2 linked regions of the Saccharomyces cerevisiae S288C genome follow. The protein of the gene in region 1 binds, or shares a complex with, the protein of each later gene. Each region holds a gene or a part of one and is shown in the gene's direction. Other genes may lie near its edges. The genes, in order: PRE7 and PRE4.

The links.
Region 2: the proteins of PRE7 (region 1) and PRE4 are in contact, whole or in part, in a crystal structure (PDB 4V7O), measured with the Saccharomyces cerevisiae proteins. Residues at the interface, in NP_009512.1 of Saccharomyces cerevisiae: Gln20 (codon at 7,087), Phe21 (codon at 7,090), Asn22 (codon at 7,093), Pro23 (codon at 7,096), Tyr24 (codon at 7,099), Asn27 (codon at 7,108), Asn48 (codon at 7,171), Ser53 (codon at 7,186), Ile54 (codon at 7,189), Asn55 (codon at 7,192), Ser56 (codon at 7,195), Arg57 (codon at 7,198), Tyr58 (codon at 7,201), Glu59 (codon at 7,204), Phe76 (codon at 7,255), Ala78 (codon at 7,261), Asp79 (codon at 7,264), Asp81 (codon at 7,270), Ala82 (codon at 7,273), Lys85 (codon at 7,282), Lys119 (codon at 7,384), Phe122 (codon at 7,393), Tyr124 (codon at 7,399), Glu237 (codon at 7,738), Arg240 (codon at 7,747); in NP_116708.1 of Saccharomyces cerevisiae: Thr34 (codon at 1,779), Glu127 (codon at 2,058), Thr131 (codon at 2,070), Tyr134 (codon at 2,079), Arg137 (codon at 2,088), Ser138 (codon at 2,091), Met140 (codon at 2,097), Pro142 (codon at 2,103), Trp144 (codon at 2,109), Arg161 (codon at 2,160), Leu165 (codon at 2,172), Leu166 (codon at 2,175), Gly167 (codon at 2,178), Val168 (codon at 2,181), Thr169 (codon at 2,184), Tyr170 (codon at 2,187), Ser171 (codon at 2,190), Ser172 (codon at 2,193), Thr174 (codon at 2,199), Leu175 (codon at 2,202), Ala181 (codon at 2,220), His182 (codon at 2,223), Arg189 (codon at 2,244), Asp193 (codon at 2,256), Arg194 (codon at 2,259).

The regions. Positions count from the first base shown.
Region 1 is NC_001134.8:134,218-151,535, forward strand, and holds PRE7 (proteasome core particle subunit beta 6), read left to right. Parts: upstream 1-7,029; coding exon 7,030-7,755; downstream 7,756-17,318. Other genes in the region: ubiquinol--cytochrome-c reductase subunit COR1, read right to left, coding at 1-1,299; YBL044W (uncharacterized protein), read left to right, coding at 1,781-2,149; ECM13 (Ecm13p), read left to right, coding at 2,471-3,244; FUI1 (uridine permease), read right to left, coding at 4,124-6,043; ERD2 (Erd2p), read right to left, coding at 7,895-8,532, 8,630-8,651; MIN6 (Min6p), read left to right, coding at 9,176-9,355; CTP synthase URA7, read right to left, coding at 9,772-11,511; mitochondrial 54S ribosomal protein uL16m MRPL16, read left to right, coding at 11,970-12,668; APL3 (Apl3p), read left to right, coding at 12,992-16,069; YBL036C (pyridoxal phosphate homeostasis protein), read right to left, coding at 16,230-17,003; and 1 more. UniProt on the Saccharomyces cerevisiae protein: Non-catalytic component of the proteasome which degrades poly-ubiquitinated proteins in the cytoplasm and in the nucleus. It is essential for the regulated turnover of proteins and for the removal of misfolded proteins.
Region 2 is NC_001138.5:242,904-251,545, reverse strand, and holds PRE4 (proteasome core particle subunit beta 7), read left to right. Parts: upstream 1-1,679; coding exon 1,680-2,480; downstream 2,481-8,642. Other genes in the region: RET2 (coatomer subunit delta), read left to right, coding at 1-1,383; alpha-ketoglutarate dehydrogenase subunit KGD4, read right to left, coding at 2,652-3,023; RMD8 (Rmd8p), read right to left, coding at 3,412-5,400; BNA6 (nicotinate-nucleotide diphosphorylase (carboxylating)), read left to right, coding at 6,380-7,267; centromere-binding protein CNN1, read left to right, coding at 7,387-8,472; MRX20 (Mrx20p), read right to left, coding at 8,547-8,642. UniProt on the Saccharomyces cerevisiae protein: Non-catalytic component of the proteasome which degrades poly-ubiquitinated proteins in the cytoplasm and in the nucleus. It is essential for the regulated turnover of proteins and for the removal of misfolded proteins.

The DNA.
Region 1 (17,318 bases):
AATAGCAATATCTTGGTCCCATAATCTCTTACCGGCCCAAGCCTTAACATCTTTGACTGTGATTGCATCAATTTTCTTGAAAGCCTCACCCAGAGACAGTTTGGAGCCCTTGATTAGGACTTCTGCGCCTAACAAGTTAGCGTCATTGACGGGATTACCAGATTCGTATAACTGCCCTAATTGTAATTTCAACAGCGATTTGGCACGTTCAACTTCAGTATCAGTGACAGAAATGGTCAATCTGTTCCATTGTTTCAAAGTGAAATGGATGAGGTCGTCAATCATGGTAACGTTTCTCGTGGCCGTAGAGAACCCCCATAAACCGGAATCTTTGTAAGAAAGAGAGAAATGATTGAAATTGTCGCATAATTGGTACTCCTGTATGTTGTCTAACAATTTGATACCTTGTAATCTAGAAGCGGGTTCGAAGGCGTTGTATGAGCCGAAAATTTGGGCGGCTAATTTAGCAACAAAATAATTTGGTGAATTGACAGGTTCACCTTCCACAGCCAGCGAAATCCACGCCTTTGGCAAGGTGTCGTCTCTCAATCTAACTTCGGAACCCAAGAAAGCGGCCTTTTTCTTGAGTACGGGCTTGGTACCGGTTTGCAAACTTAGGTTTTTGGATTCGATGGAATTTACTAAATCCTCATGTTTGATATTACCGGTACCAACAACAACAGCATTTGAATTCAAGAAATGGTTATTGGCAAAAGATTCCAGATCAGCAACAACTAAATTCTCCAAGGACTCCAAAGTACCTCTAGTAGGCAAAGATAATGGAGTGTTTTGGAAGGCGGTGGAGTGTAAATGTTCCAAAACTCTGTTGGGATGGTCGTTTTCTTCAAAATCTTGAACTTGCTTCAAGACAGATTTCTTCGTGGCCTCGAAGTTAGAAGAAGATAGCAAATTAGCCTTTTGTTGGATGAAAGACTGATTCAAGAAGTCTAGTGATTTATCGGTAGAACCTGGCAAAGAAGATACAATGTAAGATTGGAAGTCTCTGGAGATATTGGAAGACAATGCCAAACCTTCCTTGGCGGCAACAGCAGAGTTTTCTTTGGATAGAAAGATGTTCTTCCATAAATTGGAAACCCCGTTGTTATAAGGGTTTTCGTTGGCAGCACCGGAGCCGAAGACAACACCGACAGAGGCTGTGTGAGCGGAAGGATTATGCTCAGTGGCTACAACTATACCGTTAGATAATTGCGTTACTTCGGCCTTGGGGGTTGCTACAGCTGTAGCCAAAGACCTCTTGAACTGGTTAGATACAGTCTTTGAAGTTACTGTTCTTAGCATTTTTTTTGTTTATATATCTTGTGTTTTCTTTCTCAGTGATATGGTGACGATGATGTTCTTCTCGTATTATTACTCCACAATTGTCTTGATCAGCAATGGTAGCAATTTAATATTAGGATTCGTTACCTATACGAACAGGGATGATATAATATTTTTTCTGTGAAAGCTATTGCTTTATTATACGCTGTTTTCCTCGAATAAGACGGGGAAAGAGAGTAGGGGAATATCGGTTAGGGAGCGCTGTAGGCCTTTAATTTTCTTGTTTGGTTTTTATTTGGTGCAGCTGACAGCGCGGGCCCTTGAACTTCTGGAGGACAAAAAACACTGTTAATTTATTGGCATTTCATTGGTGCAGAAAGCGTGCTGTCCGGGTCACAGTTAAAGTTCATATACATGTTACCCTACCCAGTCCGGGTTATGTAAATCGTGAAAAAGAATATCTGGTTTTAAAATCTCTCTTTTCTTTTTCCCCCTGGTGGGTATGGGTGAAATGCTAGAGAGGCAAAAAAAAAGGTTGCCAAGTAAAGCGAAGTATTTGAAGTATACTGCAAGCATCACCGAAACAGGAAATCACGAAGCTGACTCATCTGTGATTTTCCGTCCCCACCATAGTGATGTAACATGCAGTAACGCACGGCGGGCCGAAAGTCGGACTTTACCCCAGATTTGTAGTTGTATCCTATTGGATCACGGGCGACGGACAAGACCCGAAGTGCGGACCGGCATGGTCAGCTTGCACGGAAGCTTTAAGGGTTTCCCTTGTTTCGGCATTAGAAGAGGCATTTCGCACGTTTTACCGGGTCAGAAACTTCGAGGAAGCTGTGACAATTGGAAAAAAAGGCAAAACTAAATGCAATGTATCCGGTTGCCCATGCATTATTTGTGATGTTTTCGGATGTAGTTCGCTGCGCTCCGCGGCGATATATCCTCTAGCGAGAGGCATATGTATAAATATATATATATATATCTAACAAAAGCATTCAAGTTTCTTTCTCTGGTGTTACGTCTTTGTTCGACTTTCTCTGCTTACAGCCCTGTATGACCAAAGAAAAAATAAAAAGACAGCTACATACCAGCAGAAATTTTTTATAGTATTACACTATACATCCAAGTTTTTTCACAATTATTTATTGTTTTTCTCACATAGAAAATTCCGCATACTGCGATTATAATGAACTCTACAACCCCATCGATTCAAGATCAATATATTTTGGCCAGCAAAGTACGCTCCAAGCTGGCAAAATGCGTTAGCGTGACTACTAAAAACAAAGACTACAACCTGAGAGTTTTAGTCGGGCACGCAAACTTGCTGGATAAGATTACAGAAAATGTGGAAACTCATAATGCTGCAACCAACGCCCTTGCCGGAGACCCTTTCAGTAAAGGACCTGAAAACTTGTCCATCGAACATATCGAATTGTCCAATGCTAATGCTAGTAAAAATGACGTCGGTAAGGAGGAAAATGCAGAAAAGACGATAGAAAGTGAAGATTACTGTGATTTTTACTCTAGTGACGAAGATCCAGATGCTGACACTCTATCTTCTACTGACAGTGAAGACGATGATGATTATGAAGACTATGATTTTGAGTACGATTACTCTGGCGGTGATTATAACAAGAAAATTGACATGTACTTTAGTTTTCACACCGCACCTAATTATCAATATTTGACTCACACAAACTCTCATTCCGAGCAGACGGATGAACTTGCCGAATCAACGCCGCGCTACAATGCTCTTCCCGCCACTGCCTCTACGACAGAGGAAGAACAGGACACTGAAACGCTCGATGCTGTGAGTTTGCATAGTTCAGCGCCAATCTTCCGTGTGCTCTCTCGGCGGGTAAATGGACAAGAAGATGACAGCGAAAACGAGAGTAGTAGCGATGTCGACGATGGTTCCGTACCATTAACGAGATTTCATTCTTGTCCTATCACAGCATAAATTAAAATGAAGGAAATAACACAACTTCGTTTTGCATTATCATATTCACATCTGCATCCTATTTTTTTTTTCTCATTGTTGTTGTATCATTATTACTAACTAGTGCATCACCACTTGTCTAAATACCAAACGCAAAATATATATATTCTTACTTCATAACGTTCAAAATAAAGTTTTTAGTTTAAAATAAAATAAAATAAAAAAAAAAAAAAAAAAAAAAAAGAACCTTTTGTTTTCGCCCAGTATATGGGTAAATTAACGGTTCCTTTTATTAGTCATTTTCAACTCTATACCATGCTCCAAAACGGCGTTCGGCACAGGTTTTTTATTTTACCACGATAACTCAATATGTACAAGATTATTGCATAGGCGAAAAGTAAAGTTTTAATATGGTACTTTGCGCAATAAAACTACGAATTCAAACGTAAAATAAGACTACAGAGACTAAGGTAAGACCTGTTCTGCTCAGATAAGTGGCGTTGTCCAAGTATCAGTTCTACGGGAACGTAAGAAAAAATTTTGCGTGAGCTCTCTTGAGAACCAAACCTTCTTTTTTTTTTTTACGAAATGCTATTTCGTTGCAGTGAGAAGGATTTTTTGAAAACAGAAATGAGTTAGGCCAGGCTGCTCGTACTCGCTTAAATTAGGAGTGCGAGACTGAAGACCTATGGTAAACAAGACTTTTTTTAACTAATCAAGCATGCGTAATGTTATTTTTACAAAATAAAGGTTACAATTTGAGATTATGCAGAAGCATATGTCTATATGTATGCAACAAATATGATGAGGCCTATGCAGATTATAAGTAAATTATTTTTTTTTTTTTTTGGCTTTGACATTATCATGATAAGGTGCTACTTGCGTTGTTAACAATTGTGTTTAGATATATCGTATCTTTTCATAGCCAGTGGAAACGCCGCCATATTCTTCAAAAGCTTCTCTTTCAGTTCCGAATTCTTCTACTTCGACCCACTCTTCGAGCCATTTACGGTCAGTTATCTTGGCATCGCCTGGAATACCCTTAATTGGGTAAAAATACACTAAAATGCAGTAACTCAATGCTGCAAGGAGATAACCAACGAAATAGTTTAGGTAGTAAACTTTCATAGCGCCAATAGGCACAGAAACTCCCACTGAACCTAAAAAGCCTGCAAAATTAGGAGCAATACCAAATATATAAGCTACCACCGCCCTCCAGTTCGTACCATATTTATTGTACATGTAGTACGATCCTGGCTTGTCGGTGTAGCAATGGAAAATATTAACGTAACCCTTTCTGACAATGAAGTAATCGGCTGATATTACACCCGCAATAGCACTTAAGAAAACTGCATATGCCGCTAGTGCCGTAGTAAACTTTGACGATGATGATAATAAATCCCAGGGGCAAATCGCCAACGATATTAGAGCACAAATATAAGAACCGCGTCTGATATTGATGAATTTAGGCAATAATGCAGTCAGATCGGTACCTGCAGGGATCGAGTTACCAGACAAGTTGGCACCCAGCTGGTCAAACGCAAAAATGAAAGATATTAAGAATACACCGGCTCTGTTCCCCGAAGTATAGTTATCCAAGTACCTGTTCAGAATGTCTAGGGGACTCCAATAATTTACTCCGTACAATGTATAAGCTGCGGAGACAGACAATATTCCGATTAAGGAAATAATGGCATAGCAGACGGGTAGCGCAATCAATTGCGAGTAAACAGATGACTTGTAGGTCTTACCGAATCTAGTGAAGTCAGGAGCGTTTAGGATTAAAGTAGAGAAGTTATCCAGAGCACTCATAATAGCTCTAATGACAGACCATGCTAAAACCGTCTTGCTGATTGCGCCACCATTGTCATTTAGGGAACCCAATGCCAAATGACCTTTGGCCTTACAAAGAGTCCAAATCAAAAAACCGAAGGCCGCAAATGGAGTGATGGCGGATTTGAGTGCAAATATATGACGCAATTTGTCAGGTGGAAACCATAGGAACGGTAAACATGCGACCCAGAAGACCATGAAGCACATGAACTCGAAGTTCGTCAAATTGGGGTTCTTTATGGTGTCTTTGATTCTAGTATTCAAATTAGTACCGAAGATAGCCTTTAGCATCAACTGAACACATTGACTACCGATATAAGCCAAAGTAGAATTCCAGACACATGCCATGACGACACGGTTGATGACAATCCAGATGGAGAAGTAGATACCAAATGATACTCTTGAGGAAATGGGGAAAGAGATATGGTAATTGTTCCCCACTTTGGAACCCAGTATCAAGAAAAATGCGACAAACGTGTATCCAACCCAAATACAGATCCAAGTCTGCCACCAGTTAAGCCCTAACTGTAGCCCAGTGGCTGAGATTTGCCATGTATTGACGTTAAAGGACCCAGAAATCCAAAAGAAAATGTACTGCTTCCATGTCCACGTTCTTCTTTTTGCCTCCACGGGCCGCAGATCTGTGTTGTACAAGTACGTCGAACGGAGGGACTCCTGTAAATCTTTAAATGTCCTAATTGGATTTTCGGGCTTATGATCGGCCAAATCGGTAGAGTCATTCTTAACCTCAAAAAACTCGACAACTCTTTGCAGCCAAGACACCTTTTCGTCATCCTGAGCAATGGTTATATTGTTTTCTGAATCGGTATCTTTTTTTTCAATGACATTAGCATCAATCTTAGAAGTAATTTTAGTCGCATCACCCATCTCGGACTCTTTCGTGATTTCTTCGTAATCCTCCGTCGGTATAGTGTCGTCCTTCATTGTTTTTGAAGAATTATCGAATCCAGAATCAGATACCGGCATTTTCTCTTATATAGAATTAATGAATGAGAGGACTAGTTACCGCCTTTTATTTCCGCAATGTGCTGCAAAGTAAAGCAAAGCTGTCCAATACTATGTTTTAAATTTTACAAGAAGGTCGAAGCAATACTACTGTTATATAAAAGATAGGATAGCATGTCATCGAGTAATTGAGCAAGAGAGGAAATGAAAAACTTTTCCGTTGGAGAATTGATCAAAAATTTTCAAAAATACGACATGTCCCTGTGTTGTCCAGGCTGACACAATAGTTTCAGTAGCGAGAACCGCCAAGTTTTATTGCAGCATCCTTTAATGGCAAAGATGGCGCGATAAGGACGAAACCGGCAAATCCCGAGCATCAACCACAGTGAACGCCGCGGAGAAACTCAAAGGCGAAAGGGGAGAAAAAAAGAAATTAATGGCACATACCGCTTTGTGGCATGGCTCAATCACATTTCTTTTTCTTCTTTCTGATCGCCCGCAGGAGAGGCAGCGCCGTTTGTGTCCCATCGCAAGGACAAACTAGCTAGGACATGAGACTTCTAAGCCGTTCAGTCGAAAGAGTTAGGGCATTAGTCTCTAAAGATAAGTGTGGGGGCTTGGTTGAGTCTTGATTTAAAAGCTTGGAGTAGGCATTTTACGATCTATTTTCTCTCGAAATAAAGTAAAGGTATTGCTGCAAAGGAATTGCCGTAATATTTAAAACTTCTTGCTTAAGTGATGTAAAGGCAGTGAGGCGATAGCAATGTTTCGTAGAGCCTGTGACTAGTGAAGCATAGGCAATAAATTGTTTTTTTTTTCTGATTTTGTATTGCCGTCTCTGCGTCGCAGAGATTTGGTGTTCGTACGGAGCGATAATTGTTTTTATCTTTTCCAACTTAAAGGATCGAGGAAACTCAAAGGGTGGCAAAAACAAGCGGTATAATACAAGGTGAACTGAGTTGGAAAGAGAGTAGCCAAGACTATTGAACTATAAAGTTAAACAAAATATGGCCACTATTGCATCAGAATACTCTTCGGAGGCGTCAAATACACCCATTGAACATCAATTCAATCCTTACGGTGATAATGGTGGTACAATCCTGGGCATTGCAGGTGAAGATTTCGCAGTGTTAGCAGGCGATACAAGAAATATCACCGATTACTCAATTAATTCTCGTTATGAACCCAAGGTTTTTGATTGTGGTGATAACATAGTCATGTCGGCGAATGGATTTGCAGCAGACGGCGACGCTTTAGTAAAAAGATTCAAAAATAGTGTAAAATGGTACCATTTCGACCACAACGACAAAAAACTATCTATAAACTCTGCAGCAAGGAACATTCAACATCTTCTGTACGGGAAGAGGTTTTTCCCTTACTACGTTCATACGATCATTGCGGGTCTTGACGAAGATGGTAAGGGCGCTGTCTATTCGTTCGACCCAGTTGGCTCCTACGAAAGAGAACAGTGTAGAGCAGGTGGTGCTGCGGCATCATTGATCATGCCATTTTTGGACAATCAGGTTAATTTCAAAAATCAATATGAGCCAGGTACAAACGGTAAAGTCAAAAAGCCTTTGAAATACTTGTCCGTGGAAGAAGTCATCAAACTGGTGAGAGACTCGTTCACTTCTGCTACAGAAAGACATATACAAGTGGGTGATGGGCTGGAAATCCTTATTGTCACCAAGGATGGTGTAAGGAAAGAATTTTATGAGCTAAAAAGAGATTAATGCATACATATCATAGTATAAAAAGAAATAGACCAATATCAACATCAATTTTATGTATTTTTTTTTTCTTTTGGTATAGCATTGATATATTGAAATTTGTATATATTGCTGCGAACACTATTTAAAACAGGTTTTTTTTTTATTTTGGCAGTTTGAAACCCTTTCCTCTGATGACTTTAGTGTAGTAAATGTAAAAGAAATCAGAGTACAACAGAGTTTGCAAAAGTCCCGCGAAGAAGGCAATCTTGTCCAATTTTTTATCTTCCGTGCTGTACCTCCAAATCCAGTTAGGAATATACAATGCTCTGTATAATCCCATGGCAAAAATATAATGAACAGTTAGACTTCTAGTCTTCCCACCCTTAGATAGCATGTACAATTGAGGTAGAATAGCCACACTCTCCAACCATACAGAAAAACTCCATGCTAATTCAAGAAAAGTGAACTTGTGATGGAAAAAAACACTCATTAGAGCACTCCCAATTAGTAAATGCTGGATCTTAAAGGTATCATGCATAAGCATTTCATTATACGCAATGGTGTTGGTTCTTTTAGACCCTTGTAATAGCACTACAATGTAAGCGGTAGATACAATGAAAAATATTTTCATTAGAGCATTGTATAGGGATACCCAGTGAAAAGTCAAGAGATCCAAGTATCGTGTTATGAAAACCAAAGCGTACAACGTTTGGGTCTTGAAAGAAATACCTTCAATGTACCTTGTGGTCTTGATATTATGAATCAGGATCAGTATACTGGTTAGATGTGATAAATCACCTGTCTTGATGGTCGGGAAAAAGCCCTTTCTCTGTTAGTAAGATTGGGTTCGATCTACGGCGGGAAAAGCCTCATGAAACTCCAAATAGTAACATACCTAAGATTCTAAACGGATTCATTGCTTACTGATTATGCCTCAACTTGCGCGTATATCTCACTCTTGAACAAGTGCCCTCAGCAAATTCATCTGCCTCGAAATTTGAACTTATTTTTAACGTGTTCAATATTTAGCTAAAACGTCGTTTTCAGTCCGGGTACCGCAGATAAGCCATCCCGGATCTTTAAAGGAAAACGAGGAATTCAGTGGTGCAGACTACACTTTAATCTCAATTGACCAAAGTGAGTCCTCAAGTAAGACGAATATTATTTTTCTTTCACGACTCAATTGAATTCCTAATAACACTTTTGTTTGCTGTATTAGCTTTTAGCTTTGAGAGCGATGAAGCAAGAGAGAAAAATAAGGGTAGAAAAAAAAATTAGAAATTGAGGAGGGGAAGGTATTCTAACCTGGTGAATTCCCAGATACATAAGTATAAGAATTTCTCGGCAGAGATTATATACAATAAAGAATAAGGTTCAGTTGGACGATTGCGATAGTAGCGTGAATAACAATTTACTTTAATCAATCGTTAGGATACTTCTAATGGGCTTTTTTAACAATAATCCGGTAATTGAATTCTTCCACAGAATAACGAGAAAACCCAGTACCATTGCGATGTGGGTGTTTGCTGGTCTGATTTGTTCAAGTACATTTTATTTAATGTTCATGTCATCACCTACAATCGACTTCAACTCGAAGAGTAAGAAAAAAAATGATAAATAATCTCCCTGTTCAGTACTTTGGTAAAAGCACGCCATGGAAAATTATTTAGAACTTCCTTATACAAAACTAAATATTTGAGCATATTCTATATTCATACATAGATACATTCTTTGAATTTCAAGACTCTTATTTCTCATTTTGAAAGCCAAGATTGGAGGAAAAATCGTAAATTTTTATCCAGTCAGTAACAACTGTTGGCCAGTCGAAAACTCTATCGAAACAGCTTCTATATGTCAGATAAGATAGATTTATTAAATTAAATATATTCAGGAGAGGAAAGACAACATGAACGAAAAAAAAAAAACAGTGTAGAGAAGCACTACAAATATTTTCTCTTCCAAAAAATATAATATACATAAAAAAATTAGAAATTTATCTTTGTTAATGCAGTAGACTTTTAATTCTAAAATTTTGATTTAAAAGTTGAATTTGTTTTCGCCGGCCTCAAGATCGTACTTACCTTCAATGACATCTTGAAGGATACCAGCGGAAGCAGCAACTAAACCCAAAAATGGTTTGGATGGATCTAAGACCTTTGATGTGTATTCTGGGTGATATTGAGTAGCAATATAGTATGGGTGATTCTTTAATTCCAAAATCTCACAACGCTTTCCAGTGTCGTCCTTACCTACAAAGATCAACCCGTTGTTTTCCAATTCATCAACCATCTTTGGATTGATTTCGTAACGGTGACGGTGTCTTTCATGGACTTCGGAGACGTCACCGTATAACTTCTTGATTTGACTCCATTCAGTTTCATTTTGGAAAAATGTTGGTCTCAAACCTAATCTCATTGAGCCCCCCATGGTTTCCTTGTCAATTTCAGGCATGAAAACGACAACGTGATTTTTTTCATCAATGTCTGGATAAAATTCTGCCGAATGACTGTCTTTTCTTCCCAACACACTACGTGTAAATTCAATGGTGGCAATTTGTAAACCCAGGCAAACCCCTAAGAATGGAATGTGATTTTCACGAGCCCATCTAGCAGCCAAAACCATACCTTCAGTACCTCTAACACCAAAACCACCGGGGATTAAGATACCGTCTGCGGTACTGACCATGTTCCATGCTTCATGAAATTTAGTTTTGTTGCTTTCTTGTGCTTCAGGTTCCAAATCAGTAGCTTCCACCCATTTAATGTCTAACTTACGACGACACTTCATGGATGAATGTTCCAATGCTTTTATCACTGATAGATAAGAATCTTTCAAGTTGGTGTATTTCCCAACCAAAGCAATCTTCACTGTTTCCATGGATTCATCGAAGTTACCTGTTGTGGCCTTCCATTTAGACAATAATTCCAGGCCTCTTTGTTTTTCTTCTTCTGTAAGTGATATTTCATCTAACTTTAATCTGGCGTGTAAGTAATCAATCATCTTTTGTTCCAGTAGCAACAATGGGACGTGATAAGTAGAATTAACATCGTGAACGTTAACCACCTGTTCAGGCCCCACATGACAAAACATGGCAATCTTATCGATTGTTGGTTTATCCAAAGTTTCACTACATCTACAGGCGATCATATCTGGAACTAAACCAAGAGACCTCAAACCTTTGATGGCAGCTTGAGTTGGCTTAGTTTTTTGTTCACCGTGGATGACAGGAACTAGAGAAACGTGTATCAAGGCAAAATTTTCCTTTCCAACTTTAAATTGGAATTGTCTTAGTGCCTCCACAAAAGGAGCACTTTCAATGTCACCAACTGTCCCACCCAATTCAATGATACAAACATCTGGTTCCATACCGGTGTCATCTACAGGAATTTTGGCCACGCGCTCAATCCAATCTTGGATAGCGTTGGTCAAATGAGGGACAATTTGCACGGTTTTGCCTAAATAGTCACCTTTTCTTTCCTTAGCAATAACGTGCGAGTATATTTTACCAGTAGTAATGTTATGATCTTTAGTCAAAGTAACTCCAAGGTATCTCTCGTAGTTACCCAAGTCCAAATCTGTTTCACCACCGTCGTCAAGCACGAAACATTCACCATGTTCCAAAGGAGACATAGTACCTGCATCAATGTTCATATAAGGGTCAATTTTAATTGACGTAACCTTTAAACCGAGGGTTTTCATTAGCATACCAGTTGAAGATGCAAGAACACCTTTACCGATACCCGAAATGACACCACCTGAAACAACAACGTACTTCATTTTCTGTCTATAAGTTTCTTTTGTTCTATTGACCAATTCACTGAGAAACTGCCTGAAACTTTTTCGACCTTAGAATGGCAGAAAAATGGCAAATACTGTAAAATACTTAACATTTAACTAAATTTTATTCTATGCTTTTCCTCTCGATGAGATGAGCTGTGAAAAATTTTGAAAAAAAAAAAAAAAAAAAAAAAAAAAAAAATTTGTTATCACCAATAACGAGAAACCTAACTCTAAAACTTAGGGTCAAAGAACAGAACCCTAGGCTTTGTATCCAGTTGAATCACTAATTACGAAAGAATGCTGGTGGAAATAATAATATCATATTGGTGCTCAAATAACAAGAAGACTTCTTTGGAAGAAATTATTACCAATTAACAGTCCACTTGTAGAGCGTACATATTGCCGGGAAGTTGATTACCTTTCACCAGAGGTACAGAGGAATAGAATTTTGCAACATGTTCCCCTATTTAACAAGAATGAATTTATCCATAAAGATGGGAGGGCTAACTTTAAAAGAAAGTTCCCCCAATGCTTTTTTAAATAACACCACTATTGCTAGGAGATTCAAGCATGAATATGCCCCACGTTTCAAAATCGTACAGAAAAAGCAAAAAGGTAGAGTGCCAGTTCGTACAGGTGGTTCAATAAAGGGATCCACTTTGCAATTTGGTAAGTACGGATTACGACTGAAAAGCGAAGGTATTAGGATATCCGCGCAACAGCTGAAGGAAGCAGATAACGCAATTATGAGATATGTCAGGCCTTTAAACAATGGTCATTTGTGGAGGCGTTTGTGTACAAACGTTGCTGTATGTATCAAGGGTAACGAAACAAGAATGGGTAAAGGTAAAGGTGGGTTTGACCACTGGATGGTGAGGGTACCCACAGGGAAGATCCTTTTCGAAATAAATGGTGATGATTTGCATGAAAAAGTCGCACGGGAAGCCTTCAGAAAAGCAGGCACCAAGTTACCTGGGGTATATGAATTTGTATCCTTGGATTCTCTGGTTAGAGTTGGATTACATAGTTTCAAAAATCCTAAAGACGACCCAGTGAAGAATTTTTACGATGAAAATGCAAAGAAGCCATCAAAGAAGTATTTGAATATTTTAAAGTCTCAAGAACCACAGTACAAACTCTTCAGAGGACGTTGAACGGATTGAACACACCATGTATACATGTATATAACTATTGAAAAATATCGATATTCACAATCAAGTAATCTAGCCATGGCTATGAGTTTATTAATTCTAGTATGCACTGTATACTCTCTGCGGAAGAATAGGAGTTTTTCCCCGGAGTGAGCGCTGAAGAAACACATGACGACGTGAAAAAACACTTGTTTGATCCAGCTGAGGTATAAACACTGAGAAATATTTGAGGGTCAAAGAAGCACTAGGAACGTTACAGTTGGAATTTGCTAGTCAATCGAGTTTCCAATTTCGCAACCTTTATTATAGTACTAATCTTATAAGCCATGGATCGCAAAAAAACACTTATAAACTCAAGTGTTTCTAATAATAACAGTACCATCAAGGGCCTACAGTTATTCATTGCAGATCTTCGTTCTGCACAACAAGCACAAGAGCAGGAAAAGAGAATACAATCTGAAATTGTCAAAATTAAACAGCATTTCGATGCTGCAAAGAAAAAACAAGGCAATCACGACAGATTAGGTGGCTATCAAAGAAAGAAGTACGTTGCCAAGCTAGCCTATATATATATTACTTCTAATACGACAAAACTAAATGAAATTTTATTCGGGTTGGAGCAAACGGTAGAGCTGTTGAAGTCCAGCATATTTTCTGAAAAATTCATTGGATATATGACCCTTGAGTTGCTTTATGAACGTAGTGAAGTTGTTGCCAAAGTTAACGATGAGGTGAATTATCAACTGATGAAAGATCTCTCTTCTTCCGATGATAATTTCGTAATGTTGGCGCTGAATTTTGTTGGTGTAGTAGGAGAACTTACGAACCGTCTAGCGTACAACGATGATATCACAACAGGAGTATTCAAGATATTAAGATCACCGACCTCCTCCATTTATCTCAAGAAAAAATCAGCATTGTCATTTCTAGCACTATTGAAAAGTAATCATTCTATACTGACCGAAGATTTACAACGTAAGCAACTATGGATACAAAGGATATTAAGCTTATTGGATGATACGGAAAACTATAGGTTAACTTTAGCTACGATTCCGTTAATAGAATTCATTGCAAAATACATTGATCCCAGTTACTGTACGAGACTATTACCACAGCTAACAGAAATTTTGTACAATTGTGTTGTTGTTGGTACTTCAAGATCTAGTGACAATCAGTTTCCGTTAGAATATACGTTCGCGAATATGCCAAATCCTTGGCTTATCACAAAAGTTGTCTCTTTGTTGAGCATATTGATTGCCTCACCAACTGAGAGGGATTCTGGCTCATTACTACAAACCAACAACATAGATAATGAATTACTAAATAAACTTCGAAAGTGTGTTTCCGTTGCCATCGAATTAGGAACCAGACAAGCTCAAGATCCCATGGAACGTATCGTCCAAAACACAGTATTGTTTTCATTGATCAATTTCGCCTCTAAGCTAGATCCGTCGGATGAAGCTATCAGCAATTCTGTGACAGCCTTATGTTCCCTGCTAACATCTAAGGAAATTAATATTCGGTATTTAACGCTAGATTCATTGGTCAAATTATGCTCATCAAGCGGGAAACCTGCAATTGATGCCGTTCGTTACAAGAATTTGGATATGATTTTTCATCTTTTGAACACAGAAAGAGATTCATCTATTGTTAGGAAGGTTGTTGACTTGTTATATACCTTTACTGATGTTGAAAACGTTAAGATTATTGTGGACGGTTTACTGCAGTATATTTTATCTCCGAAAAATCTTGCTGAACCGCAAATAAAATCTGATATTGCAGTTAAAATAGCTATTTTGACCGAGAAATATGCCACGGATATCAATTGGTTTGTAATTATTTCGTTGCAGTTGCTATCATTAACTTCAAATACAACTATTAACGATGATGAGATCTGGCAACGACTATGTCAAATTGTAGTGAACAATCCATCTTTACATAGAATAACATGTGAACGGTTGGTGGACTATTTATGTAAAAAGCAAGCATCTGAAGCTATTATTAAAGCTGCGGCTTTTCTACTAGGGGAGTACTCAAGTCTCATAACAGACAGGATTTCAAGCGCAAATTTATTTACTTTGTTTGCCGAGAAATATTTTAGTGCACCAAATGTGGCTAAGGCGATGATATTGACTACGATGATCAAGTTGTACAAGACCTCACCTGAGATCGGCTCCAACGTCATCAAATTTTTCCAATTGGAATTGAACTCTCTTGATATTGAGTTGCAAACAAGATCCTTCGAATATCTCAACATTATTCAACTGGCTAAGGTGAACGGAAATACAGATATTTTGCAAATTTTATTTGAACCAATGCCGCCTTTTAACAGCAAATCTAATCCATTATTGAAGAGATTAGGGTCACTGCCGGCATCAGCGGGTAGCACAACTTTAATAAATACACCATCCGAAGCATCCTCCTCCACGCCTGACTTACTATCAAAAAGAGCAAACTCTTCCAGGTCGATCATGGTTCCCATGCCCCCACCATCTCGTAGGAACACCATTGATGATGTAAATTCCAAAATTAGTTCATCTGAAGACTTTTCAGGAAAGGACTCTTATTATTCAAGGCAGATCCTCGCTCCAAATTGGAGGGAAGGTTTCACAAGAATGATTTCGCATAAGCAGGGTGTGCTTTTCACATCATCTTTGATGAAAGTTTTCTATCGGATAACCACTCCTGATGCACAACAGCCATACGTGTTTCATATATCTCTTGCCTTCATTAACCTGACTGAGTGGGAAATCACGGGATTATCCACACAGATTATCCCTTCAAAAACGCAAGGTAATCCTGAGTATTTAATTATGAATATTAATACACCTTCTACTGCTACTATTGGGCCCCATAAAAGGGCAGAGCAAAGCTATGAAGTTTCAATAAGAAAACCTTTCGACGTTGAAGATAGTCCAATTTTGGCAATTCATTTCAAATGTGGCGGTAGTACAAACACTATCAATTTGAAAACTGCCATAGGCATGACTACAACACTAATTAGCAGCGATGTCAATCCTAGCATGCATTTGAATTTGGCACAGTTCATCAGCCGTTGGAAGACTTTGAGCGATGCTTTGGGAAAAGAGGGAGAATACCAAAAATCTGGCATAAAGCTCAACAAGGATTTTAGAAAAGTTGAAACAATCAGTTTAGAAGACGGACTTCTACTATTGACGCAAACAGTGAAGAGGTTGGGCTTTGATATAGTCGATCAGACCAGTGTTCGTAGTACATTGTTTGTCTCGGGTATTATTCATACGAAAAGTGAGGGAAACTTCGGTTGTTTAATGAAGATACAATACCAGGTAAATGGAACAGTTAATGTTACCTGTAAAACAACGACGGCCGGTCCCCTGGCGAAGTACATTGTCGAATGTATAAAGAATGTGCTTACGAAGTAAAATTTTCTCAAATTCACTATAATGAAAATCATCCGCATTGTACATATATAAACACACACACACATATATATATATATTTGAGATTCTATTTATTTTCATTTTGTGTTGTAATGCTATAAAAAAAAAGATCTTCGTATAAAATCTCAGTTCATTCAACCTACTAAATGATTCTAGCTTCATTTTTTGGAGGTCTAGCACCAAAAATGTCGGTACCAATTCTGACTTCCGCTGTTCCTTGCCTTATAGCCTCCCTGAAATCAGCACTCATCCCCATAGACAATTTCAATGATGTACCAAATTTAGCATCAATCTTCTTCTTCCACTCAACCAGCGTAGCAAAGTCTCTGTTTTCTTTGCTATCTTCATGAGAGACGTTCCATGAACCAATAGTCATTAACCCATTCAACTTAATATACTTGCATTCTTCGGATAAGAAGAAGTCGATGACTTCAAATATTTCTGCTTCATTATTCAAGCCCGATTTTTGATCCTCATGGGAGGTATTAATTTGAACATTACACAATATTGGGTTGCAATCTGGTTGAAATTTAGCCCTCGATTCGTTTAATTTTTTGGCTTTCTTCAAGGAGTCGATTGTTTCAACAGAGTATAAATTTGGCACTTTAGCCAAATCTTTACATTTATTCGTTTGCAAACCGCCAATAAAGTGCCACTTGATATCGTCTGGTAGTAATTTTGCCTTTTCGATCAACTCTTGAACATAGTTTTCCCCGAACTCCCTCACACCATGGTCGTAAAGAATTTGTATATCGCTAGCTGGTTTCAATTTCGAAACAACCAATAATAAAATTTTGGAGGCATTTTCATTAACATGAACATTTTTTGCCTCTGCATTCACAACTTCCCTTACAGATTCGTATTGGGCAATTAATTGTGTCTTTCTATCTTCATCATAAGTAATACCAGTGGACATATTGCAATGTGATGCTGGAATCTTAGTCAAAAAGGAAAGAGTGATGCCTATCAGTTTTTTTTTTTATTATGCATTTAAGAGTAGTCTCTACTTATGAACATTTTCTCTGGCCTCTGATCACGTTACTTTATTACCCGGATACTGATCATGTTATGGTCTTTAATCAATAAGTAAGTTATAGAGCCAGTTTCAAGGTCGATAGTTCAGGTGTATAACAATACTTTTTGGTGCTACCTTGAGCTATTCCATTAGTTAAGTTTGAATTAAATATATCAACTAGCAATCAAGTCAACTCTAGCGCGCTTCCACACGTTG
Region 2 (8,642 bases), on another chromosome or scaffold:
TTTTCACAGACGATCAACTCCTACTTGTCTAGTTTCCAAGACCAAGAGATTTTTCACAATGCCTTTGAGATCTTGTCCTCGTTCGACGAAATCGTGTCAATGGGCGGGTACAAAGAGAACTTGTCCTTTACTCAAGTGCAAACATACTTGTCTATGGAGTCGCACGAAGAAAGAATCCAGGAAATTATTGAGCGTAATAAAGAGATCGAAGCTACTGAGGAGAGGAAGCGCCGTGCTAAGGAAATTGCTAGAAAAGAACATGAAAGGAAACACGGGTTTATGTCTTCAAATGGCGATTACGACGGCGCCAATAGGTTCATGGGAAGTAAAGATCCTAACGTTACAAACGCCATCAACAGTTACTACTCCCATGCTTCTCCTGCAGCACAACAGTCTTATCTACAAAGTTCCCATGCCGCTGCTGCTGAGGTGGCCCCAGTGGCCTCCCCAATGGCTACGTCTCAGCGTGCGGGACATTCTGCTACTGGCGGTATGAAATTGGGTGGTGGTGCCGGAAGAAGAGCGGGTGCCGCACCACGGCCAAGTGCAATTTCTTCAGCCTCTTCTGGCACTCCACCTCCTCCGGAGGAGGATGTCCCAGAGAACAATGGTATTTTGATCTCTATCAAGGAGGTAATCAATGCAGAATTCTCCAGAGATGGTACCATTCACTCTTCTGAATTGAAAGGTGTTTTAGAACTAAGAATTAATGACCATGACTTATCTCACTCGAACCTAAAACTAGCTGATTCTATTGACGTTCGCGATAAATCCTTCCAGTTTAAGACCCATCCAAACATAGATAAACAATCGTTCCTATCCACTAAACTTATCTCCCTGCGTGATAAATCTAAGGCTTTCCCAGCCAACGACCAAAGCCTGGGTGTTCTAAGATGGCGTAAAGTCGCTCCCGCAGAAGATGACTCATTAATTCCATTAACTCTAACTACATGGGTTTCCCCCTCCGAATCACAACAGGGCTTTGATGTCATTATTGAGTATGAGAGCGTCCTGGAAACAGAACTCGCTGATGTGATCTTCACCATTCCAGTTTTCCCTCAGGAGCCAGTAGACATAAATACAGAGTCTTCTACATGCTCTGACGCTGAAGTTGTCAACATGGACCAAGAAATGGGAACCTCCATTAAGATTAGCAAAATTGCTGCCAACGATGCAGGTGCGCTAGCATTCACTATCGAAGCTCCATATGAAGATGCATTGTACCCAATGACCGTTTCCTTCCAAGAGTCCACGAGGGATAAATTAGCTAAGAGTTTCACCGGTATGGCCATACAATCTGTTGTCATGGCCAATGACCACGATCAAGAGCTCCCTTACGACGTCATCACCTCTTTGAAATCAGATGAATATCTTGTCCAATAGTACGTTACATTCACATATAAAATACTTAAGTTATATACACAAACTAAATAAATAAAAATCGAGGTATCTTTTCTTTCGTCCTTCTATATATATAGTTTAACTTACTCTTATTCTTTATTATTTTTCCTTTTAGGGTTACCCGTCAATCCTTTTTATTAAAGATGTTCCAGCTTCTTGGTTTAGAATTTGCCACCTTAAATACGTACCCACATAGTAAAGTACAGCTAAGTTAAGAAAGGGGATAAGCAGCAGGAATCCTTCATCTTCCGCCGAAAACAACATAAAAACCCACACGAATGAATCACGATCCTTTCAGTTGGGGCAGGCCCGCAGACTCTACTTATGGTGCTTACAATACACAAATTGCGAACGCAGGCGCCTCTCCCATGGTTAATACACAGCAACCAATAGTAACAGGTACTTCCGTCATATCAATGAAATATGATAATGGGGTTATCATTGCAGCAGATAATTTAGGTTCATATGGCTCTCTTCTAAGATTCAATGGCGTGGAGAGGCTTATTCCCGTGGGTGATAACACCGTTGTGGGCATTTCAGGTGATATTTCTGATATGCAACACATTGAGAGATTATTGAAAGATCTAGTCACTGAAAATGCGTATGACAATCCTCTAGCGGATGCTGAAGAAGCGCTCGAACCCAGCTATATTTTTGAATATCTAGCTACCGTCATGTACCAGCGAAGATCAAAGATGAATCCACTTTGGAATGCCATCATTGTTGCTGGTGTACAGTCTAATGGTGATCAATTCCTAAGATACGTAAATCTTCTAGGTGTTACGTATTCGTCTCCCACCTTGGCCACAGGTTTTGGGGCACACATGGCAAACCCACTGTTAAGGAAAGTTGTAGATCGAGAATCTGATATTCCAAAGACCACTGTACAGGTTGCTGAAGAGGCGATCGTAAATGCAATGAGAGTTCTTTATTATAGAGATGCCCGTTCTTCTAGAAACTTCTCACTGGCCATAATTGATAAGAACACAGGTTTAACTTTCAAGAAAAACTTGCAAGTTGAAAACATGAAATGGGACTTCGCCAAGGATATTAAAGGCTACGGTACTCAAAAAATTTAGAAGAGTTTTATCCCACCTTCATTAAATACTCATTTTATTTTTATTTTTCAATTCATAATATCATCACTCTTCTCTCTTCCTAAGTAACTACGTTTTTACATAGATATAATGATATGTGTAAAGAAACTATAAAATAACAAAAAAAAATCATAATATTACTGCATCTATCCTTCACCATGCACCACCGCTATTTATGCTCTCCAATTCATGCTCGTTAATAGGTTTGTACCGAAACCTAGCAGGTAGCTCGAAAATGGAAGCAAGCTCATCTTTTTGCAATGGCCTGTTAACGAATACAGAGGTCTTTGACGAGCTGAGACCAGCATTAGCGCTATGCTTTATTGGCACTACACGGAATGGTTTATAATTTTCCATGAATTTACTCACTGGAATACACTCTTTGCTGCCAGGTAACATTCCGTTGGTAGCGCAAGGATGAACAACGACCTCAGTTGCATGCTTCACTAAGGGATGCCTTGTACCGACGAATTTTATCATCGGCTCATATGCACTCTTTGCTAATCTTATAGGTGTAGCAATCATTTCCCTGTCTTCTTGTACTTTTATCTTACTCTTATTATCGGTTAAAAACCTGGGGAAGTACTCCTTAATGGTTTGCTTTAAAGAATTCAATGCGGCTAGAAATGAAAAAGACTTTTAAGATCACTGAAACACTGCAATCTGGCTAAAATATTAGTCTTCACTATCGTCTTTTTCTCCTTTGTTGATGCGAAAGATGAATTTACATATTCGAGTCCCTTAGTCATATTATTGTACTTTTAATGCAATCTTGAGGGGAGCCAATCAACGAGTGGTTTTACTTGCACGTGACCAAGAATGGTAATAACGGTGAAATATATGACTAAAAACCTTGATAACTAAATATATCATTAATTTATTTTTAATGCCGTCTAGAAGGGTGTATGAATATCTATGTAGAAGTATGACGATGAATAATTACATAACGAACGAAAATCTCTGTTAATGAAAATATAACTCCAAATAAAATGACAAGAATAAACCACCATGTAACACGAGCCATGTTTCTTTCAGCAACAGAGTCAACGCATATATCAAAGAATTCCAAGAAAACTTTGCAACGATCATTTAATACTTGTACTCTTTGGTCAATTTCTAAATACTCCCTCATTGCCACGTACAGTGGATGCAAACTTGGTTCGAACGACCAAAAAAACTCGGGTGTATCCAATATGGTGGATGAAAGGTTAACATCCACTCTCAATTTAAAGAGCTTCCCTGATTTTTTCAAAAGCTGTTCCCTTTTTAACCCAAGGGTACCATATAATGCTAGTCTTTTAGGTAGTTTTGTGACTGATATTAAAATCGGCGAAATTCTGGATTCAAACCTTGATAATTTCGAAGATTGCGCAATCGCATGTGATAGTGTCAGCTCGATAATGTGGTCACCTGAACGTAATGTGACAATATCATTGAAAATTCTCGGTCTCTCGGTATCTCTGTCATATTCGAAATGGAATTGTTCAGTTTCAATATCTTGTTCATCCAGCGGCCGGATCATTAAATTCTTATAATCTGCAAATGTTATATCACCAAGAATATTTTTCTCTTGAATTTCAGTAAAGTTCCAAAAAACAATAACGCCATAGTGAAAAATGAAAATTTCTGCATGTCTATCATTGCCTTCATGGTCGTTGTCCCTATGCATTTTATATACACGATCAAAATCATTCTGTGATGAAGATGGTGGCGATGGCGTAGATATTGATGATGGCGAAGCTGGTGAACGAGAGGACTGTACATACTGATCGTTTCCCTCAACAGCATAAAGTTTACTCTTATCATTATTTTTATTATTATTATCGTTGCCACAACTTGCATCACTGTCGTTTTCCTCCTTCTTCAGCATGTTTATTCTTTCTGTCCTTTCCCGTTTCTCTATCTCTAAGGGAGTTTCTTCCGCAAAAAATTGTGGTTCCATAGGATTAAAAGAGTCTTGCTGACCAACTGGATTTGGTAGATGATCGGGAACTGTTGTGGTGTCTTGATTAGCGTTATTGTTATTTCCACTGGTTTCTAGTTCGTAATTATTATTTGCATCTTCCACAGTTTCCACACCTGAGTAATATTCATAATGATGATCTCTCTGTTCGCTTGTATCAATTAAATTATCAATTAATGTCTTTCCACCCATTGTTTTCTTAGATAAATTTGATTTGATTCTAAAACCGCCTTTACCTGGTAGAAGTGGCAAAGTATACGCAACGTATAGACACTCATCATACAATCTTGGTGAAACCTCATGAGTTTCCTGCAGAAACTTATACAATTGGTTGAGATTGAAGCCATCAGCAACATTATATGCGGTGATTCTTGCCATGGACTTTTCTTTTGAGTATCGAGGTAGCCGATCGAAGGAATTAGACTTCATAGAGCCCACTTTCGGTCTTTGCCTATCCAGCGCGTTCGTTGGTAGAGTTTGAAAGTGGTTCAAGTTGTCGTCTTCCGGTATCAACACTAACTTTTGTGACGTCTTCGATGTTCTTGGAGGCAGGGGATTGATCATCTTTCTACGCGAACTTAACCGCTCATATTGGCGAGGCCTATCGCTTGAAGAGCTGGATAGCCTTTCCTCTCTTCTGGCAGAGGGAATATCTGAATTATCAGAAAGAATATTATCTATGGATATATCGCTAAACCTGCCAGACGATCGCCTTCTTGGATGAGTAAAACTCTGCAGCGGAGAAGGGCCAATAGCGGAAGAGCGAACTCCTTGAGACTTCGTAACTCCTGCGTTTTCCATATTCTTCCTACTACCAGCAGCGTGTCCAGCGAACGGTGCACTCATTCTATTCTTGGATGTTCTTGCATCTGTCACCAGGATGGAAGGTGACCTTTTCGGCATCTCCCCAGGAGATGGTTGGTTAGCCTTATAACTCATACTGTCGTCTTAAATGGAAGTCCTTTCCTTTGCTCCATATGCAATTTTGCATACGAACTTCCGATTGATATAATCTTGTATTAATGTATGCCTAACCTGGTTTTGTTTTTCTTGTAGGTTTTTCTAGCCAGTTTTACTATAAATTGTCACTTTTTCCTAGTAGTCAATTTGAAAAAAAAAAAAATATATGGGTAATTATAATAACAAGAAGTGTTCTTCTGATTGTCGGAGATGCCTCTAATGCCAATGCACAGGCTTCCATAAAGTTTTCAAGCATGACAGAAAGCTAACTTGTCTTTTACTTCTTTGTTGGGCACACTTCTCATTTTTAAAAAAAAGATTTCCACCTTCACGATCATATCTGAAATGAACTGAATATTTTGTTCTTGTGAGAATAAACTTGTCTACTAATCGCAAATTTTTCAAGATTAACCTTCCGCACCCATTGAGGTACTAAACTGATCTACCCTACCTTTCCTAAATACCTAATGTCAGGTACATAATGCCAGCGACAGCTCAAAATCACGGGATACTAATTATTAAATAGTAGTAGCTTCTTCTCCACGCACAGTTCGATCGAAGGAGCTAATATTCGGCTTGTCATCTTCCATGGCCAGTAATTTTTTTTATTGTCATTTGGGACTAATGAGATGGAAACTAGAATTGTAGTTATACATCCTGAGGTTTCTATCAACTTGTGTGTCACAACGTTTTATATACTTGAATGCGTAGTAGCAAACCCCGGCAAGACGTAAGTTAACTTGTCAAAGGTACAAGCTTGGTTACAAACAATGTGATATTTCGCTCCAGGATATTTTTGCTTTTGGTGACGCCGGTTGGTTGAAGAGCCCCCATTTATCATGACTCCTACCGCAGTTTTCGTATATCTTGGGCCATAAATTCGAAAATTAAAGACACCACTTAATAACGCAACAAAAAGAACGCAATCCTCAGAAAGAACACACACCAAAAAAAAAAAATGCCTGTTTATGAACACTTATTGCCCGTTAATGGAGCATGGAGACAAGACGTCACCAATTGGCTGAGCGAGGACGTTCCTTCTTTTGATTTTGGTGGATATGTTGTTGGTTCCGACCTAAAGGAGGCCAATTTGTACTGTAAGCAGGATGGTATGCTGTGTGGTGTCCCCTTTGCGCAAGAAGTCTTTAATCAGTGCGAATTGCAAGTTGAGTGGTTGTTTAAGGAAGGCTCCTTCTTGGAGCCTTCGAAGAATGACTCTGGTAAGATTGTTGTAGCTAAAATTACTGGGCCCGCTAAAAACATTCTATTAGCTGAAAGAACCGCCTTGAACATCCTTAGTAGAAGTAGTGGAATTGCCACCGCCTCACATAAGATAATCAGTTTGGCGCGTTCGACTGGTTACAAGGGGACCATTGCGGGGACAAGAAAGACTACACCAGGTTTACGTAGATTAGAAAAGTATTCCATGCTTGTAGGTGGCTGCGACACGCACAGATACGACCTTTCCTCTATGGTCATGCTCAAAGATAATCATATTTGGGCTACTGGTTCTATAACAAACGCAGTTAAGAACGCCAGGGCCGTGTGCGGGTTTGCTGTGAAGATCGAAGTGGAGTGTTTGAGTGAAGATGAAGCCACAGAGGCCATTGAAGCTGGTGCAGACGTTATCATGTTGGATAATTTCAAAGGTGACGGTTTGAAAATGTGCGCCCAAAGTCTTAAGAACAAATGGAATGGTAAAAAGCATTTCCTCTTGGAATGTAGTGGAGGCTTGAATTTGGACAACCTCGAGGAGTATTTGTGCGATGACATTGACATTTACAGCACTAGTAGCATTCATCAAGGCACACCAGTGATTGATTTCTCATTGAAACTGGCTCATTGAAAATGCTTAGGCTTCGATTTTTACTTTTTTTTATTTACATATTCTAAATAAGATTAAGAAGCTACGCGTTACCGATTAATGACACACACGACGATTAGTAACGAAATAAGAAATGAATAATGAGCACTCCCAGGAAGGCCGCCGGTAACAACGAGAATACAGAAGTCTCAGAGATCAGAACCCCCTTTCGGGAGAGAGCCCTTGAAGAACAACGTCTCAAGGATGAGGTACTGATCAGAAATACGCCAGGTTATAGAAAACTTTTATCTGCTTCTACTAAGTCTCATGACATCCTCAATAAAGATCCGAACGAAGTACGAAGTTTTTTACAAGACTTAAGCCAAGTGTTAGCACGCAAATCACAAGGCAACGATACAACTACTAATAAAACTCAAGCACGGAATCTAATAGATGAATTAGCGTACGAAGAGAGCCAACCAGAGGAGAATGAGCTTCTTCGGAGCAGAAGTGAGAAACTGACAGATAACAACATTGGCAATGAAACGCAACCTGATTATACTTCCTTATCGCAAACAGTATTTGCAAAATTGCAGGAAAGAGACAAAGGCTTGAAAAGTAGGAAGATTGACCCGATAATAATACAAGATGTTCCCACGACAGGACACGAGGATGAATTGACAGTGCACTCTCCAGATAAAGCTAACAGTATCTCTATGGAAGTTTTGCGCACGTCGCCAAGCATTGGAATGGATCAGGTAGATGAACCGCCAGTACGTGATCCGGTACCAATTTCCATAACGCAACAGGAAGAACCACTATCTGAAGATTTACCAAGCGACGATAAAGAGGAGACAGAAGAAGCAGAAAACGAAGATTATTCGTTTGAAAACACCAGTGACGAAAATTTGGATGATATAGGCAACGATCCTATCCGTTTAAATGTCCCTGCGGTGAGACGTTCTTCTATAAAACCGCTGCAAATAATGGATCTAAAACATCTTACAAGGCAATTTTTGAATGAGAATAGGATAATATTGCCGAAACAAACGTGGTCTACTATACAGGAGGAATCTTTAAATATAATGGATTTCTTGAAACAAAAAATCGGCACGTTACAAAAACAGGAATTGGTAGATTCGTTTATCGATATGGGTATTATCAATAACGTTGATGATATGTTTGAGCTCGCGCACGAATTGCTTCCCTTAGAACTTCAATCAAGAATTGAAAGTTATTTGTTCTAAAAAAGATACCGTAGAGAAAATAATTAAATAGTGGCAATTTATGTACAGAAAAGAGTAAAAGATCCACAAAATTATCAAGACCTGGAAGAGAAGCCTAGTAACAAACTAACCTGTTCATAAACAGTGAACGTTAAGCCTCCTGAAATACCGACTTTCATAAACCTAAAGAT